Linked DNA regions of Mus musculus. The protein of the gene in region 1 interacts with the protein of each later gene in a pairwise test. Links are inferred from orthologs where the notes say so. Each region holds a gene or a part of one and is shown in the gene's direction. Other genes may lie near its edges.

Region 1 (8,267 bases):
GAGGCCAGAAGATGCAGAGCTCTGCCCGAGAGATCTTTTGACAAACTCATGACTAGCATTTTATACCTTTGAGTCCCGGAGGCTGCTAAAGGAGCCTCAAGCAGGTCCTAGAGAGGCCTGGCCTGCTCTTTGGTGCCAGCTTCCTTCTTGCCTGTCGAGTTCTCAGTAGCTGCCAGCTGATCCCACCGCACCCCACTCAATGTTGATATTCACAGTCCTCCCTCCCCCCAATACGGCATGCTGGAGTTTGCTGGATTCTTCCCTGGGAGGGTGATGTCTCCTAACTAGATTAGACAGGAGCCTTCATTCTGTGGCTTGTTGTCATTTGGGAACTATTTATTTATTTTTTTTAATATTTAAGTTTTAACATCCTCAGGGACCAGGGGCCTCTTGCTTTCCAGAGGTCCAAGTGCATTTATCCCAAAATAAGGCACCTTTTTGGCATCCCCAAGCCCTCCCCCAGTTCCATGGCCCTGGGGTCCCTTACCTTGTGGCTCTTGGCCGCAGGAATGACAGAAACTGATCGGGCTGGGAAGGCGGGGAGTGTTATCAGTCACAGGAAGCCAGCAGATGTGGGTGAGGTCAAAGGCAGGTCTCTGTCCTGCCTTTTCTGTACTTTCAAATGCTCGAGGGAGTTGGCAAGAGGCCAGAATTCTAGTTTTGGTTATCAGCCTCGATTCTGGCTTGAAGAAACCATATTTGGCTTGGAATTACTGAAGGGTTGGAATGTTCTAGAGTCCCCTTCGCTTTCCAGTTCAGTAGGGGCCTAAAGCCACTTTTCTGATATCATCACTTAATTTTAGTTGTACAAAAGAGAGTCTTAAGTGACCGTGTGTCTGACTGTTTAGAATGTTAGTAAGGAGCGGAAATAGCCTACAGCCCGTTGGGAATTGGAAATAGAGATGGGGTTTTGTTTTGAAGCTGTAGACTATTGGGTATTTCTTACATTCATTTACACATTAGTATGGTTCTATGAGAGAGCTGCGGGTGGAAATAACAAACCTGTCCCCCTAGATACCTAGACAGTTACCTTAACCTTCAGTTTCCCCGGTTTGTTTCCTTCATAGGCTTCTATCAGCTCGAAGTCCCGGGATTACAAAAATGTGGTACCCTCTAGAAGCAGGAGGGCAACAAGTTTAGGATCTCTTCTAAATCACTTCTATAACGCGTGCCTTCACAGCTCAGCCCCAAAGTGCCACTTAGGTTTCCCAAGGTTCTTTTCTATTTAAACCATATCTGGCTCAGGCCCCTTGGTGGACAGGTGATAGCAGCCACATGAGATCCTTCAGCCACATGAGACTCCTCTGCTCAGTGGTACCAACTAATCCTTAGAAATCTTAATTAAAAACAGCAAAAAAGCAAGAACTTTTCTAAGTTCACAGAGACCAGATGACTATAGCCGGGGTGGGGGTGGGGGGATAAAGATGGTACCTTTAGGTAGTGATCCCACCAGACACTGTTTTAGAGGGGCCCATGCTCCAGCGCGCCCGTGTGGAAACTGAACTAGTTCAAAGCGGAGATGCACGTGCGGCCGGAGGCTGGCGCAGGCGCGTCCTTACTGGTGCTTTCTCGTACGAACACACTGGGCTTGGCTTTTGTTGTTCTTTCTATTCAGAGCTCCCTGTTTGACAATAACGTCCCTATACAGTGTCACCCTGCCTGTCCCCCAGCTTCCACCTGCATTCAGAGAAGGCCATGACACTGACCGTGCCTGTGTTCTGGGCCATCTCTGAGGTCTCTTGCCCTCACTGCTGTCCTCCAAGCCTTCAGCAGCCCCCTTAGAGCTAAAGTACCCACCCACCCACCGTCCTTGCCGCCCCACCTCCCACCCCGGCACAGAGGCCCTGTGCTCATGATGTCTAAAGGGATTGCCTATATTTAACTGCCTCAGTCACCCAACCTCTTTCTTCTCATGTGCCAGATGTTAAAGACAGAGGAGGAAGAGTGCAATAGTACTCAAGCCTCAGCTGTTGAAATGTTTTTATTGGGGCTCACTGTTCTGGGTTATTATTTATTACTAGACTGGCAAAGCCTAACCCCTTAGGTTTTTACAGGAAGTATGCATATTTTTATATAAAAACAGTTGTGTCTAACCCACATTTGGCTGTGTTTGTTGCCTCAAAAAAAAAAAAATTGCAGCTGTTAGAACTTTTCCTCATTTGTCTCTTACGTTAAAGGCCTTGCTGGAGAGGATGGAGCACAGAACAGCCTTGACAGTCTGTAATTAGTGTACAAATATTTTAATAGCATAAAGTAAGTATATTCCTTTTATTTTGAAACAAAATGGTCAGACACTGCCTTTCATGTGTTTGTTGCCTGTGGCACTCTTTTTAAAAAAGACTGTTACATATTAAAATAGTGTACATATATATATATATATAAATATAAATATTACCTCTTTGTGTACAGTTGTGATAGACCAGACTGAAAATTTTATTTTTTGTGTGCTTTTTATAAAAAAAAAATTAATACACTAAAGAGAATCTTGCTGTGATTGTAATGTACCTATGTAACTTATTTACTTTTGAATGTTCTGTATCTTAAGACCTTTTATTAAATAAGGTTTTAAAAAAAATTCATTGTTGAATACCACATTCTTATAGGGGTGTTTTTGCCGTCTGGGACTGATAGGCCTTGTTTTGCTTGAAGAGAACTTACCCGCCTTTTCGGGGCCATAAACATTCTGTTTTGCTATCTTGTATACTCAGTAAGGATAAGAAGGCAATATGTTTGCAGTTTGCCTGGCTACAAAGGTAAGTAGTCACGGGGTTTTGTGTACACACACACACACACACACACACACACACACACACACACTTTAAACAAGAAAGCCAAGTCAGACACTCACAGGAACCAGTAGATGGAATTCTCTTTCCTAGTTTTGTGGGGAGGAACCAAGTAGTTGCAGAGTGGGATCAGGTGGTTCCCGGAAGTCAGAGTTAAAGACTGAATTCATAGAATGGATGAGCAATATGAGATAAGTCCGTCGTGGTAGATGCGTATCAATAAAGCCAGCTTAAATCCACGGCAAAATTAAATAAAGCATGCGTAGCAATAGCTAAGAAAGAATCAGGGAAGGCGGGGGGGGGGGTGTAAAAAGAAATGCGCCGTCATAGAATAGACTCCTCAAACCCCTTCTTGGCACCATAGCAACCGCCAGATCCTCTGGAGCCCGCGTATCTCGCGTCGTCATGGACACAGTTGTCACGGTGACACTGGGGGAGACAAGCGGACCGGTTCCGCCCTCCACTGCAGCTGCACGCCGGCCGTTGCGGGAGCGCGCGGACATAAGCGCTAGGCAGAGCTGCCTCCAGCCGAGTTTCTCCCCCATCCCGTGCTTCCTGCCGCTTGGGTTCCCGGTGCTCGGAGTGCCGCCTCTCCCCACGTAGCCAAGCCACGGCCTCGCGTGACCCTCAGCCCGCCGGCGTGCCGGGGAGAGGTGGGAGGAGCTGCCACGCCCCGCGACCGCACCCAGCCATCTCCCGCCCGGAGTCATCAGTCTTGAGCCCACCTTGCTCCCTCTCTTTAAGCGGTGACGCCAGACACAGCTGCAGCCAGTTCAGCCCTCCCTGCCCGGACCAAAGGGGGCGACATTCGAGTGATAGGCGGAGTGTCCCGTGGCTCCCGACCCTGACTTGGGACCCGGAAGGGACAAGAAGGAACTCTGGTGTCTTTTGGTAATTGTGGTTGCCTGAAGCTTGTCGCCCCCTGGCCTACCGGGGGAGGAGAGCATGTTGTATTGTCCTAGGCCCTATAGCCTCGTGAGCCAGTCCAAGCAGTGTCTGTAGAACTGGCACTTTTAATAGTTGGGTGAAATGGCTATGACACTATTGGAAGACTGGTGCAGGGGAATGGATGTGAACTCTCAGAGAGCTCTGTTGGTCTGGGGGATCCCTGTGAACTGTGATGAGACCGAAATTGAAGAGACCCTCCAAGCTGCGATGCCCCAGGTATCCTATCGAGTGCTGGGGAGAATGTTCTGGAGGGAAGAAAATGCTAAAGCAGCCTTGTTAGAGCTCACTGGGGCAGTGGATTACTCCCTGATACCCAGGGAGATGCCAGGCAAAGGAGGGCTCTGGAAAGTGGTGTTTAAACCCCCCACTTCCGACGCAGTTTTTTTGGAAAGGCTGCACCTCTTTCTAGCTAGGGAAGGGTGGACCGTGCAAGATGTTGCTCGTGTGCTTGGGTTTCAGAACCCTGCTCCAGCTCCAGGCCCGGAAATGCCAGCAGAGATGCTCAACTATATTTTGGATAATGTTATTCAACCTCTTGTTGAGTCCATATGGTATAAGAAGCTGACGTTATTCTCCGGGAAGGACATTCCCGGGCCTGGCGAGGAAACCTTTGATTCCTGGCTGGAGCACTCAAATGAAATCATAGAGGAATGGCAGGTGTCGGATATAGAAAAGAGACGGCGGTTGATGGAGAGTTTGAGAGGCCCCGCTGCTGACGTCATCCGCATCCTCAAGACCAACAACGCCGCCATAACGACCGCAGAATGCCTGAAGGCTCTTGAGCAGGTCTTTGGGAGTGTGGAGAGCTCTAGAGATGCACAGGTCAGATTTCTGAACACTTACCAGAACCCAGGAGAAAAGTTATCTTCGTATGTTATCCGTCTGGAGCCTCTGCTGCAAAAGGTAGTAGACAAGGGGGTCATTGATAAAGATAACGTGAACCAGGCTCGCTTGGAGCAGGTCATCGCTGGGGCTAACCACAGTGGGGCCCTCCGAAGGCAGTTGTGGCTGGCCGGGGCTGAGGAAGGGCCTGCACCCAACCTCTTCCAGTTACTGGTGCAGATTCGAGAGGAGGAAGCCAAGAAGGAGGAGGAGGAGGCCGAGGCCGCCCTCTTGCAGCTAGGCCTGGAGGGGCACTTCTGAGTCCTAGGACTGGCCAGGCTGCTTTTGATATACCTGTGACGTTTTAGTAAGCCTGCCACTCAAAGCAAGCACCCAGCCTCCTCCTGGCTTGGTTTTGTTTCCTGAGGGATGGGATGGGGAAGTCAGGCCCGCATATTCCTGTAACATTCACAGAAGTGTGTGATTGTCAGGAGCTGCAACGGTAAAGGTGGTCCTTACTGCCTAAAGTGAATGCTTGATGCCAGCCCTCCTGGCGACATCTCTGACAGCTGTGCACAAACGTGAAGCTGTGACACTTCCTGTCAAGGTGGTTGCGAAGCTGCAGGTTCTGATGCTAACCGCGCACCAGGTTCACAGACTGTACAGTACAAACTCTTGTGTTTGTTACTAACACTGTGGATGGTTTTACTGTAAATTGTTCCCAATTTGTATCGATGGAAAGAATGTGATTCTATTAGAAGATATTACTCATCTTGAAAAATGCGGATTTCTAATTCCTCACGGCTCAACGCTGGAATCAGTTTCCCTGAAAAGGATCCTCGGACTAAAAGTGGCATGTTAGAAAAAACCAGGCCTTTACCGAGCTGCACAATCAGTTCCTCACGGTGGAAGACAGAAGTCCTAGGGGGAGTGGCCGTGGCCAGTCTACACTTCCCCCACTTCAAAGACTAGTCATTTAATAATTGGTCAGCGCTAAGGGTTCTAAGTTTGAAGTTATTGAATAGATGTATACAAATAAAAATTTGAAAATTCTCATTTTTCCTGACACGTATAAAATTTTTCAGTTAATTTAGCTCCGTATATTTTTCTCCTAACAAGGACTTTTGTTCATGTAAAACAAAACAAAACAAAACAAAAATTACCCTCCTTGCTATGAATTTAAGTTGCAGTGTCACCTATACATCTTGGTTGGGTGGTTCCTTGGTTGTTTTGTCACAGTCCCACTCTGTAGCTGAGGCTGGCCTGAAATTCACTCTGTAGCCCAGGCTGACCTCAAACTTGCAGCGGTCCTGGGATTACAGGTTTGAGCCACTACCCCTAGCTATTTCTTGTAGATACTGTCTCACTGTGTAGCATGGGCTACTGCTCTTGAACCTGTGATCCTTCTGCCTACCTCTTGGGGGCTGAGATTCTAGGCAGACACTACTACATCTACCTTTCAGTGAGTTCAATTTCCACATGACTTCCTCAAGGCAAGAGATAACAACCAAAGAGAGATGTTTCTATGAAATCTGATAAAAAAAATTGAATTGGGGCTTAGGTTAGCTAGCAACCTTTCTGTTTTAAAGTCATTGTGTGACTGACAGTGTTTCGGCACAGAAACAATGATCTAGTCCACTTTGTGTGCAAAGTGTTTGTCTCCCAATAGCCATTTTATAAGTTTCAGTGACTGCAGATGCCCACCTCTGAGCTCCCGGGTCAATCTGGAAATGCCCTGAAATTTTCTTTTAGGGTCTGAGACTAGAGCTGGGGTAATAGGCACTGTCAATCTCTGAGGTTTTGCTTCATGGATGCACCAGTGTGAATGGGGCAGGGCAGAGAATGGGGCGGGGCAGGGTGGGGGTGGGGGACAGGACTCTGCCATTCTGCCATTTGTTAATTGTGACTGTTAGCTGGTGGATGCTAATATTCTTATGTGTTGGTCCAGATTTTTCTTTTTAAAATATTGTGTGTATGTATGTTGGTGTATATGTTATGGTATGAATATGGAGGTCAAAGGACAACTTGCAGGAACCCATTTTCTCCTTCTACCACGTAGGTCCCTCAACGTAAGATTTGACTTCCTACACTTTTATACAAGCTCGAATTCCGCTATCCTGAGCTAACCAACCACTCTCACTTAGATATATGTTCTTAAAAACAAGGATGGAGTCTGCATCTTTTATGTTGTCGGCATCCTTGGCTTCACATAGGAACATAGTACTTGCTTTGATTGTGGGCAAAGACATGTGGAGGACACGGGACAACTTGTAGGCATCAGCTCTGTCCTTCCACCAAGTAGTTCTGGGGGGGATCAAGCTCAGGTTGGCAGCTTACGGTGACAGCCTTTACATGCCAAGACACCTCACCAGCCCACCCTGTCCTGCCAATGCCACCTCACCTCGGTGGTTGCTAGATTGCTTTCTTCAGTAGCAATGAGTGAAGCTAAGATCACACGCATGCAGGTCGAGCACTTTACCACTGTACGGCAGGCCTGCCCCTTGTTCTGGTTTGTTGTTTTAGAAGTCTCACATTGTACAAAGGAAGCTGTCCTGCAACTTGCTATGTAGCTGAGGTTGGTTTTGAACTTATAATCTCCTGCCTCATGTTCCCCAGGGCTGGTATTATATAGGCTTGTGCCACCATGTTTAGAATACTTTCTTTATATAGCTGATTGATTGCATCCCATGAGGAAAAGTATTTTACTATTTAATTAAATGTAAGGCCCATACATTCATATGGAATACGAAACATGTGAGCATTCCCCTTTTCCAGTCTCTTTGAGTTGAGTTTCCTCTGTAGCCTAGGCTATTCTTGAACTTGCCTAGCCTCCTGCCTCAGTCTCCTGAGATGCTGACACACATCCTTTGAGCAAGAAAACTGAATTAAAAGTAACTGATTTGATTTGTTTTCTTTCTATAAGCTCAAAAAATTTTAAATTCTGATTTTTTTTTTAGAAAGGTATATTCAAAGACCAGTGAGATCATAGAAACTGCATGGCGGTTTTATTCTGTAACTAAAGTACATTTTGACTGACAGCACAGACTGTACACTGGCAAATGTATGGTGCTCCTGATCCTGTGGGGTTACCCTGTTTCTCAGGGGTCTCTCGGCTAACCTTTACTAGGGATGATCATGGGCAGGCAAGCTTGCTGACCGTGGGAATCCTCTTTCCAGTGGACACATAATGGTGGGTGAGTTAGAAAGTCAGCAAAGGACATGCTCACCAGTGCTAAGTGAGGAAGAAATTAGCAGAGACTGATTCAGCTGTGTGCTGTGCACACCTTTAATCCAAGCACTTGGGAGGCAGAGGCAGAGGCAGAGGCAGAGGCAGAGGCAGGCAGATCTCTGTGTTTGTGAACAGCCTTGTCTACAGAGTGAGTTCTACGACAACTAGGGCTACACCTGAGACCTCGCCTCAGTCAGTCAGTCAGTCAGTCAGTCAGTCAGTCAGTCAGTCAGTCAGTCAGTCAATCAATCAATCAATCAATCAATCATCAATCAATACGAGTTAAGGGTCTTTGCACCCTGGTTGCTCTCCCTTTCTCTCCTCCCTGGCCCTCTCACCACATGCATGGATTCTACTATTCAAAAGCTGAATTGCTTTAGAAATCAAATATCATGAAAGTTACTCTAATATTAACTAGAATACAGTAACCAAAGGACTTCTTTTTTTTTATAAAATAACATGATTTATTACTATTTTAAAAC
Region 2 (8,267 bases), on another chromosome or scaffold:
TAAACATGCACATATTTTAGTTTATAGTTACTAAAAACATGCCCATCTCAATACATTTCTAGATGTCATGACTGTAATGATTGAAAATGTTAGGCCCAGGGAAGTCTGAAGGTTCGGCATTACCCATAATCCACGGGGGAGGGGGAGCCACCCTCCATGCCCTCCTTCCTTTCAGGAATGTCTTGCAGCCAGCCAGCCCAACACCACAGTTCTGGGCAGAAGCATGCTGATATTGGCACTGCCTAAACCAAACAAACAAGATGTTTAACAGTCAAATAAAATGTCCTGCAGTCTCCCTAATGAATTTGTCAGGGACCATCAGATTTCACTCCCCCTCCTTTGCCTCATTAACTCAAGTATGATGAGACGGATTATAACAAGAGAATACAGATCAATCGGTCTGAAGACTTGAAGTGGCTTTTAGCCTCTAGAGTTTCTTTCTCTCTTGGTCTCCTTAATAGAACACCGCATCTCCTGCAGAAGGAGCTGCCACTTCGTTTTAATACACCATCAAGGAGCTGCTGATGGACTTCTACACCAACATACATAAAAGCAGAGGTGACAGGGGCTCTTCAATTATAGCCTCCTCAGATACCGTTTCCCCCTTCAATTATTCAACCAGGGATAGGAGCCGCAAACAGCAGAAGCTGCCTGCTCTCAGCCAAGGCAGTGGAGAGAGGTAAGGGGGAGGGGTGCAGTGTTTGCTGGAAGTGTTTAAGTTTATTGCTCGAATGATGTTTCTAATTAGCACCACAGCGATAAATTAAAGTCGCCTTTGTTTAACTGATTTATTATTTACTAGAGCATCTACCTTAGACAGGGTAAATTGGTAATGAATTGTTTTTAAATCAAAACATTTGTAACGTTTTATCATCCTTGCCTCTAGGAAGAGAAGTGGAGAAACGGTGGACAAGGGTGTGAGGAAACTTGCTCAAGCTGGCAGAGGTGAATGCAGTGGGTGCGCGTGTCCTGTAGCTTGAAGACGTGGCAGGCCGAGCTGAGACAGCCAGAATTACAAGGGTTCGCACAGGCGTCTCTGGCCACATGCATGCTGCAGATCTGGCCCCTGGAGGATGTGGAGGAACTCTGCACCTGGGCCTTGCCACCAGTCCCCGCCCGCCCAGCACTGCCTGTGGGATTTGTTCCAAGCTTCTTTTCCCTGTGGTCCCATACTCCACGGGAGTACACCCCTCTGGCCTGTAACACCTCCAAGGCAGGGACTATAGAACGCACTAGTTACCCGGCTACATGGCATGGTCTGGGTCCTGCAGCACCAAAGCCTCCCTGACCAGCGGGAAACCGCTGGCCGCAGCTAGCCGCCTAGTAGTGCATTCACTCTTAGGAACGCCCATGAAACTACTGTCCCAGAGGCTCTCTGATGCTTACTTTGCAAGGTTCTTCCCAACTCCTCGCTACTTAAAACGGCCCCCAAGCGATAAATCCCGCTTGGTTTAAAAAAGAAAAACCCAAATACTCTTTAGAAAGGAGCTTTAGCATCAAGGTGGAGGCGGGTCAAGTCTCCAGCCCTCCGGACCACCAAAGACTAAGAACGAATGAAGGGGTAGGGATCCAAGCATCTCATGCCCAGTAGAAAGAAACATTAGCTCTCTCGGTAGCAACTGAATTCAGGTTCTGGTAGGTTTCAAAAAATGCAAGTCAAGCTCTCCTACGGGGTTTTACAAAAGTTATACACAGCTTTTTAAAAAAAAAAAAAAACGGGCTAAAGATTTTATTTTCCCTATGCATAACCCACGGCTTAAATATTATCTGCCAAATCAACCTAAAAATAGCCCTTAACTACCTGAGTGTATTAAAACAACTGAGAGCCCTGGCATCTTAAATTCTGAGATAAACTCCCAGTAGCAAGTGAATCACCTTGCTGCAGCCCTTGTTTTTCCAAAAGTCCTACGAGGCAGCAATCACACAGCTTGTTAAGGATAACACATATTCTAAGGAACAAGAGCGACTGAGTTTTAGTGGGATGCAGGGGAGGAGGAAGGCCATCTGGGTAATCAATAACAGTAAAGTTATAGATTTTTATCCCAGTCAACTCCTTTAAAAGCAAGAATCAATTATGAAAATAAAATTATTCTAAACCAGTACTGCCCAAGAATATGTTCACAATTAACGTCACAGTATTTAAAAAATTAAGAAAACCTGAATTCAGGCTCATTTTTTTCCTTCATTTTAATTTAAGTCTAAACTATTTTGGTAGCTTATTTCAATCAGCAAGTATAACCAAGTAATGTATGCTAATATATAAACTTACAGTTTCTCAAAACTCACATATTTTCTCTCTAGTTATTGGTAAATTCCTATAAGAGTAAAATAATGACACAAAGATAGCTAAATCTAAATTATGAAATAAGGATCAAAAACATATCTGGAGTAGTTTTTGTCCTGTTCTGTATTTTTAACAGCATATGGAAATTACTAACAAGAGATTTATGGTTATAGACTGTCATCCTATCCCCTCCTTTACACATACACAGCAATTCTCCAGCTCTTGGCAACAATGGGATGGGAGGGAAAGAGAAGGGGGGGGGGACTACAAAATTTAAGTCCTTTCTTAAGCTCCCCTTCCTGCTCTCATTTGCCTTCAAGCCAAAGACAGTTTGTTAGAGTCTGCACCTTCTGCAGAATGTTCAGAGACTTAAAACCAAAAGTGAAGCTCACTGAAAGCACTACTACTTTGCAGGAATTGATCCAGCCATACCCAGAGAAGAATCCCTTCTATGAAGACTCTCCTCCTCACTGCAACGGTAAGAAAAGAGGATAAAAAAGAAAATGGGACTATGAAACGAGTGAGAGCATTTGGCTTCTGTCTAGTCCCATTTTCTCACCCCCCACGCCCCCTTTATCAAGTGCAGTGTGGTGGCTGCTGAGGTCCCAAGCTTGTCCTCTCTCTCTCTTTCTCTCGGATTGGCTAAAGCACTGACAGCTTGCATAGGGATTGTAGGAACTGAAGCTCCACCCCTTCACGGTGGCCCAGAACCATTCATAAACTAAGGAGAGAGAGAGAGAGAGAGAGAGAGAGAGAGAGAGAGAGAGAGAGAGAGAGAGAGAGAGAGAGAGAGAGAAGTGTGGGGGGCAGGTATCAGAGGACAGGGGGATGAGGTAGAGACTGCAAACGCAACCCAGAGGAGAGGAAAAACCCGGACTCCTTAGACCTGCACACCAGATACAACGTAAGCAACGATTTAGTCACACTAAAATAGATTTTGCTAGGGCCAAAAGTATAAATAACGAGGCAGAAAAGAATATCAAACAACTTGCAGCAGTTTGCACCTAGAGAAAGGCAGGAAGAACCCACCACAAACAAACCAACCCAATCCAAACAACGCCTCCAGTAGGAAGCCAGGAAAACTGCTACGACACAACCCCCTGAGAAGAGAGGAGACTAGCACGCTGAGACCGCGCGGGGCGTCTGCAAACCTCAGAGTGCGCTGCGGCCTGAGCTGTACTTCGCTGCTCTCCGGGCATTAATTACATCCTTCACTTTCCTTTTGGGGGAGGGTAAGGAAGGCATCACCTACGCTGAGCGAAGGCGTCCAACCATCGAGGGAGAAGTTTCAGAATGAACCACTGAATGTTTTTGTCTTATTTTTAAATTTACTTTGGCACTTATAAGACTTCATTTCCAGATATCTGGGCAATCGTGGCTGCTGCGGACATCTAAGCCTAGCCTCTTGGTAACCTAGTTTTTTCTCTCTCACGATTTCATCCATCTCTCCCGCACAAGGAGAGGCTCGTCTTTATTTTTGCAGGTACTTTCCCCCCTAAATAATATTATTTCTAATTTTCTGCGGAAGAAAGAAAAGAAAATTCCAAAGAGGGAAAAGAAAAGGCCAGCCGGCTATATCATCAGCCGGTCAGCCCAGGTGGAAAGCAAGAGTGAAATTGGGGCTTCAGGGGGAACGCACCGCCTTTCCACAGCCGCAGGGCCACCACCAGTGCGTGAGCCTTGGATCCCTCAACGTATTGCGAGACGCCGGTGTACAGCCCGGACCTGTGCCCCAACATGATCGCCGCTCAGGCCAAGCTGGTTTACCAGCTCAATAAATACTACACCGAGCGCTGCCAGGCGCGCAAGGCTGCGATCGCCAAGACCATCCGAGAAGTCTGCAAGGTAGTGTCGGATGTGCTAAAGGAAGTGGAGGTGCAAGAGCCCCGCTTCATCAGCTCTCTGAGTGAGATTGACGCCCGCTACGAGGGGCTGGAGGTAATCTCGCCCACCGAGTTCGAGGTGGTACTCTACCTCAACCAGATGGGAGTCTTCAACTTCGTGGACGACGGATCTCTGCCCGGCTGTGCCGTGCTCAAACTAAGCGATGGGCGGAAGCGGAGCATGTCTCTTTGGGTCGAGTTCATCACAGCGTCTGGCTACCTTTCTGCGCGCAAGATCCGCTCGCGTTTCCAGACACTAGTAGCCCAGGCGGTGGACAAGTGCAGCTACCGGGACGTGGTCAAGATGATCGCCGACACTAGTGAGGTCAAGTTGCGCATCAGGGAGCGCTACGTGGTGCAAATCACCCCAGCGTTCAAGTGCACCGGGATCTGGCCTCGCAGCGCGGCACAGTGGCCTATGCCCCACATCCCCTGGCCCGGCCCCAATCGGGTGGCGGAGGTCAAGGCCGAAGGGTTCAACTTGCTCTCCAAGGAGTGCTACTCGCTGACTGGCAAGCAGAGCTCCGCAGAAAGCGACGCCTGGGTGCTGCAGTTCGGTGAGGCGGAGAACCGCTTGCTGATGGGCGGCTGTAGAAACAAGTGCCTCTCGGTGCTGAAGACGCTGCGGGACCGCCACCTGGAGCTGCCTGGCCAGCCGCTCAATAACTACCACATGAAGACGCTGCTGCTGTACGAGTGCGAGAAACACCCGAGGGAAACGGACTGGGACGAGGCTTGCTTGGGCGACCGTCTGAACGGCATCCTGCTACAGCTCATCTCCTGCCTGCAGTGCCGCCGCTGCCCTCACTACTTTTTGCCCAACCTCGACCTCTTCCAGGGTAAGCCCCACTCGGCCCTGGAGAGCGCTGCCAAGCAGACCTGGAGATTGGCCAGGGAAATCCTCACCAATCCCAAAAGCTTGGACAAACTATAGAGTGCTGCCGACTGCGTGGAAAGCAACATAAATGGGCATGCTCTCCCAGAACACACAACAACAGCAAAAACTCGAAACACAAACTTTTATGTAAATCACCTGAAAGAACGGGAGTAGGCAGAAGACATCCTAATTAAGAAGCAAACAAAAGAGGGCAAACCAACCAACCCCCCCACCCCAAAAATAACATTCTTGCACAAAAATGATCGTTTCCTTCCAAACAATGTGAATTTAAAGATCGCACAAAAGAAGCAATCCGGCTTTGCGAACACAAAATGAAACCCAAGGTACATTTTTCAAATCAATGTATAGTAGCTTCCCTTCTTTTCCTTCTTTACGCCCGCCCCTCCTTGTTTTGGGTTGCTTGCGTGATTGTCACCAAGTGAAAATAATTATTTAACTATATGTGAAATTTCTTTTACAAAGTTTTACTGATGTGAAATGTGTCTCAGTGCCAATGTCAATGTGCCCCTGCCTCCTCCTTTTGCACCCCTAACCCCCGCCCTAAAATGTCTTGTTGAAACCAGTAAACCAGTAATAAAAATATTACTTTACATTGTAATTGGCTGCTTGCGGATTGTTCTTGAATGAAGGCAGATGAGATCACTTTCTAACTTACAAGATGTGAACTTGAACTAAATACAGGAAGCTTCCATTTGAACTCTGATTTGCAAACTTTAAAATACAGCATATTCTGGAGAATTAATTATATAAATCTCCCCCAAAATCCTTAGTAAAAAGTAAAATAAGTATTTTACTCAATATAACACATATTTTATGTTAATAGCAATATTTAAAAAAGAAAAGTGTGAAACAATATATTGTTAATCCTAAAATTTAAAATAATAAAAAAGCCTATTTAAAATTATATCAGGATTTTTTTAATGCTGTAAGGTTTTTTAAAATCTAGTTCTAAATGTTTTTAAAATTGCTTTTAAAGAATGAAGTCATGTCATGCTCTTTCTTCAACTATTCTTTTTAAGTTTCAACTAGTAATAATAAATAAAATTAGCAAGAAAATCAAAGACACCAAAAATAATAAAATAGTCACTGCAATATTTCTCTCCTCTAGCAACTGGTAATATGAACAATTCAGATTTATAACTACTTTGGTTTTTTAATGATTTAGTTATGAATGCAATAAACAGTATCATTTTAATTAAATTTCAAAAATTATTTTGAATCTACCTATATATAAAGGTCTTAAAACTATTTTATGACCTAAATAATTACTCCAAAAATTTAGAAATAGGAAAAGCACCTTCCATATTCTGCTTTCTCAGGTAACAATCCCATAGACTCATTTCAATGTTTCAACTCTGATAAGATTTCTTTTACATGCAATAAAATAACTGTTTGGAATAAAAAATAATTAGGAAAACTGAAAATATCCTAAAGAAACTGGTTTGTTTTCTGGCCAAAGGACAAGATTTGACCATGTGAAGTAAAGGAACAGAATATGTTAAATACTACCTCTAATATTTAAATTTTATTTTTTAAATTCATCTATTTTTTAATCTATAAGTGAAAGATATAGAAGAAAATGTTGTACAAGGCAGTATTCAGAGGAGAAGTCTGGGTGGGGGAGGGGCGCGTGGGGCTAAGAACAGGAGGACTAAGATTACTGAGCCCTGGGAAGCTCCCAGGGCTCTGAAGCACCAGGTCACTTGACAGAACAGGCATAAGCTCAGGCTGCCCTGGGAAAAGTAATTCTGTGTCAAAAATATAAGCTTAGGGGCTACCTACTTTGAAAATACCTTTGACCTTTCAATGTACTTAGTACCGGGTGTGTGTCTGTGTGTGTGTGTGTCTGTGTGTGTGTGTATGTTGTGTCTTCTTGTAAAAATAAAAACAAACTCATTAATTCAGTGCACTCACTAATTATTTTGAACAATAAAACAATTTATCCTCTTAAGGAGAAGGTCTGAATTTTAAGAAAATTTTCAAAGGAGTATGTTTGAAAATATAAAGCAATAGCTACTCAGAGGTGTACACAAATCATTTAAAGCACAGTATTTGGTGTAAAAGGTTAAAATGCTTTCTTAAAAAATGACTCATGCACAAGAAAAAGCATGTGTAGCACGGAACAGCGCTTCTTCCAACTACTTATGAAAAAGTTACTAAGTATTGACAAGAAAAAACAACCCAATTTGATATCCTCACATCCTTATTTAATGCAAGTTTTAAAAAAGGTTTTAATGTTAAAAATGTAGTCAAGAAAAGTGTTTACAATAAAAATATCTTTTAGCATTAATGTCAATATTAAATCAAATATTCTATCAATAATTTGCTGAAGTTAATTTCAAATATGTTGATGTCTGGAGAACTAGGAAGGTTTCAGTACAAGACAAATTTCATGATTAAGGTAAAATATCTTATGTTTTACAAGCAACAGAGAAAGAAAACTAATGTAATTATGCTACAGAAAGACAAAAAAAACTTAAAAGCTACAGCTTCCTATAAAAGAACAAATAGCTTCAAAGAACCTGTTCTCAAAGGCTGACAAAGATCTTAATTTTGAAAAAAGTTTTTAAACACCATTGATTAGATTTTAGACTTTAAACTATGTCCCAAAAGTAAAGTATTCTGAATGAAGTCTCAGTCTCTCTGAAGTTCTGAAGCGTCAGGAATCAGAGTTTAAATAATTTTGGTAGCCTTTCATAATGAATTTATAATATATTTTCATATACTTTAGCCATGAGACAAAGTAGAAAACATTTTGAGGTGATAAAAGTTCAGAATTCAAGTTTTCTCTGTACCAGAGTCACTAATTTATCTAACTGTAACTAACCAGTTCTCTCGTGGTTTTCTTTTCATGTGTTCCAGCAAGTTCTTCCTGATACAGACAGTGGTATGGAAACAAAGTACTTAAAGCAAACATGGCTGAGATAAGAAATTGTTTGTAAAGCTCAACAAAATTATAACATTATTTTTTCTCAAAAGTTTTTTTAGAAATACTTCCAAATTAGAAAGATTTCACAATTCCACATGATTCCAAAACAGAAGAGGCTACCAATAAATAGAATATGTACATACTGCACGCATGCACCCGCATGGGCACGCATGTGCGCGCGCGCGCGCACACACACACACACACACACACACACACACACACACACACACACACTACAAGCCAGTAAAATTAATTATTCCATTTTAAACCACT

The links. The genes of interacting proteins can lie anywhere in the genome.
Region 2: the proteins of Pnma1 (region 1) and Mab21l2 interact in binary tests that used the Homo sapiens proteins (3 or more experiments, as listed by UniProt). The two-hybrid records come from large-scale screens. The link is inferred for Mus musculus from reciprocal best matches to the Homo sapiens genes PNMA1 and MAB21L2.

Annotation. Positions count from the first base shown.
Region 1 is NC_000078.6:84,143,476-84,151,742, reverse strand, and holds Pnma1 (paraneoplastic antigen Ma1 homolog), read left to right. Parts: upstream 1-3,253; 5' UTR 3,254-3,815; coding exon 3,816-4,877; 3' UTR 4,878-5,612; downstream 5,613-8,267.
Region 2 is NC_000069.6:86,543,446-86,551,712, reverse strand, and holds Mab21l2 (protein mab-21-like 2), read left to right. Parts: upstream 1-3,429; 5' UTR 3,430-4,021; coding exon 4,022-5,101; 3' UTR 5,102-5,663; downstream 5,664-8,267. UniProt on the Homo sapiens protein: Required for several aspects of embryonic development including normal development of the eye.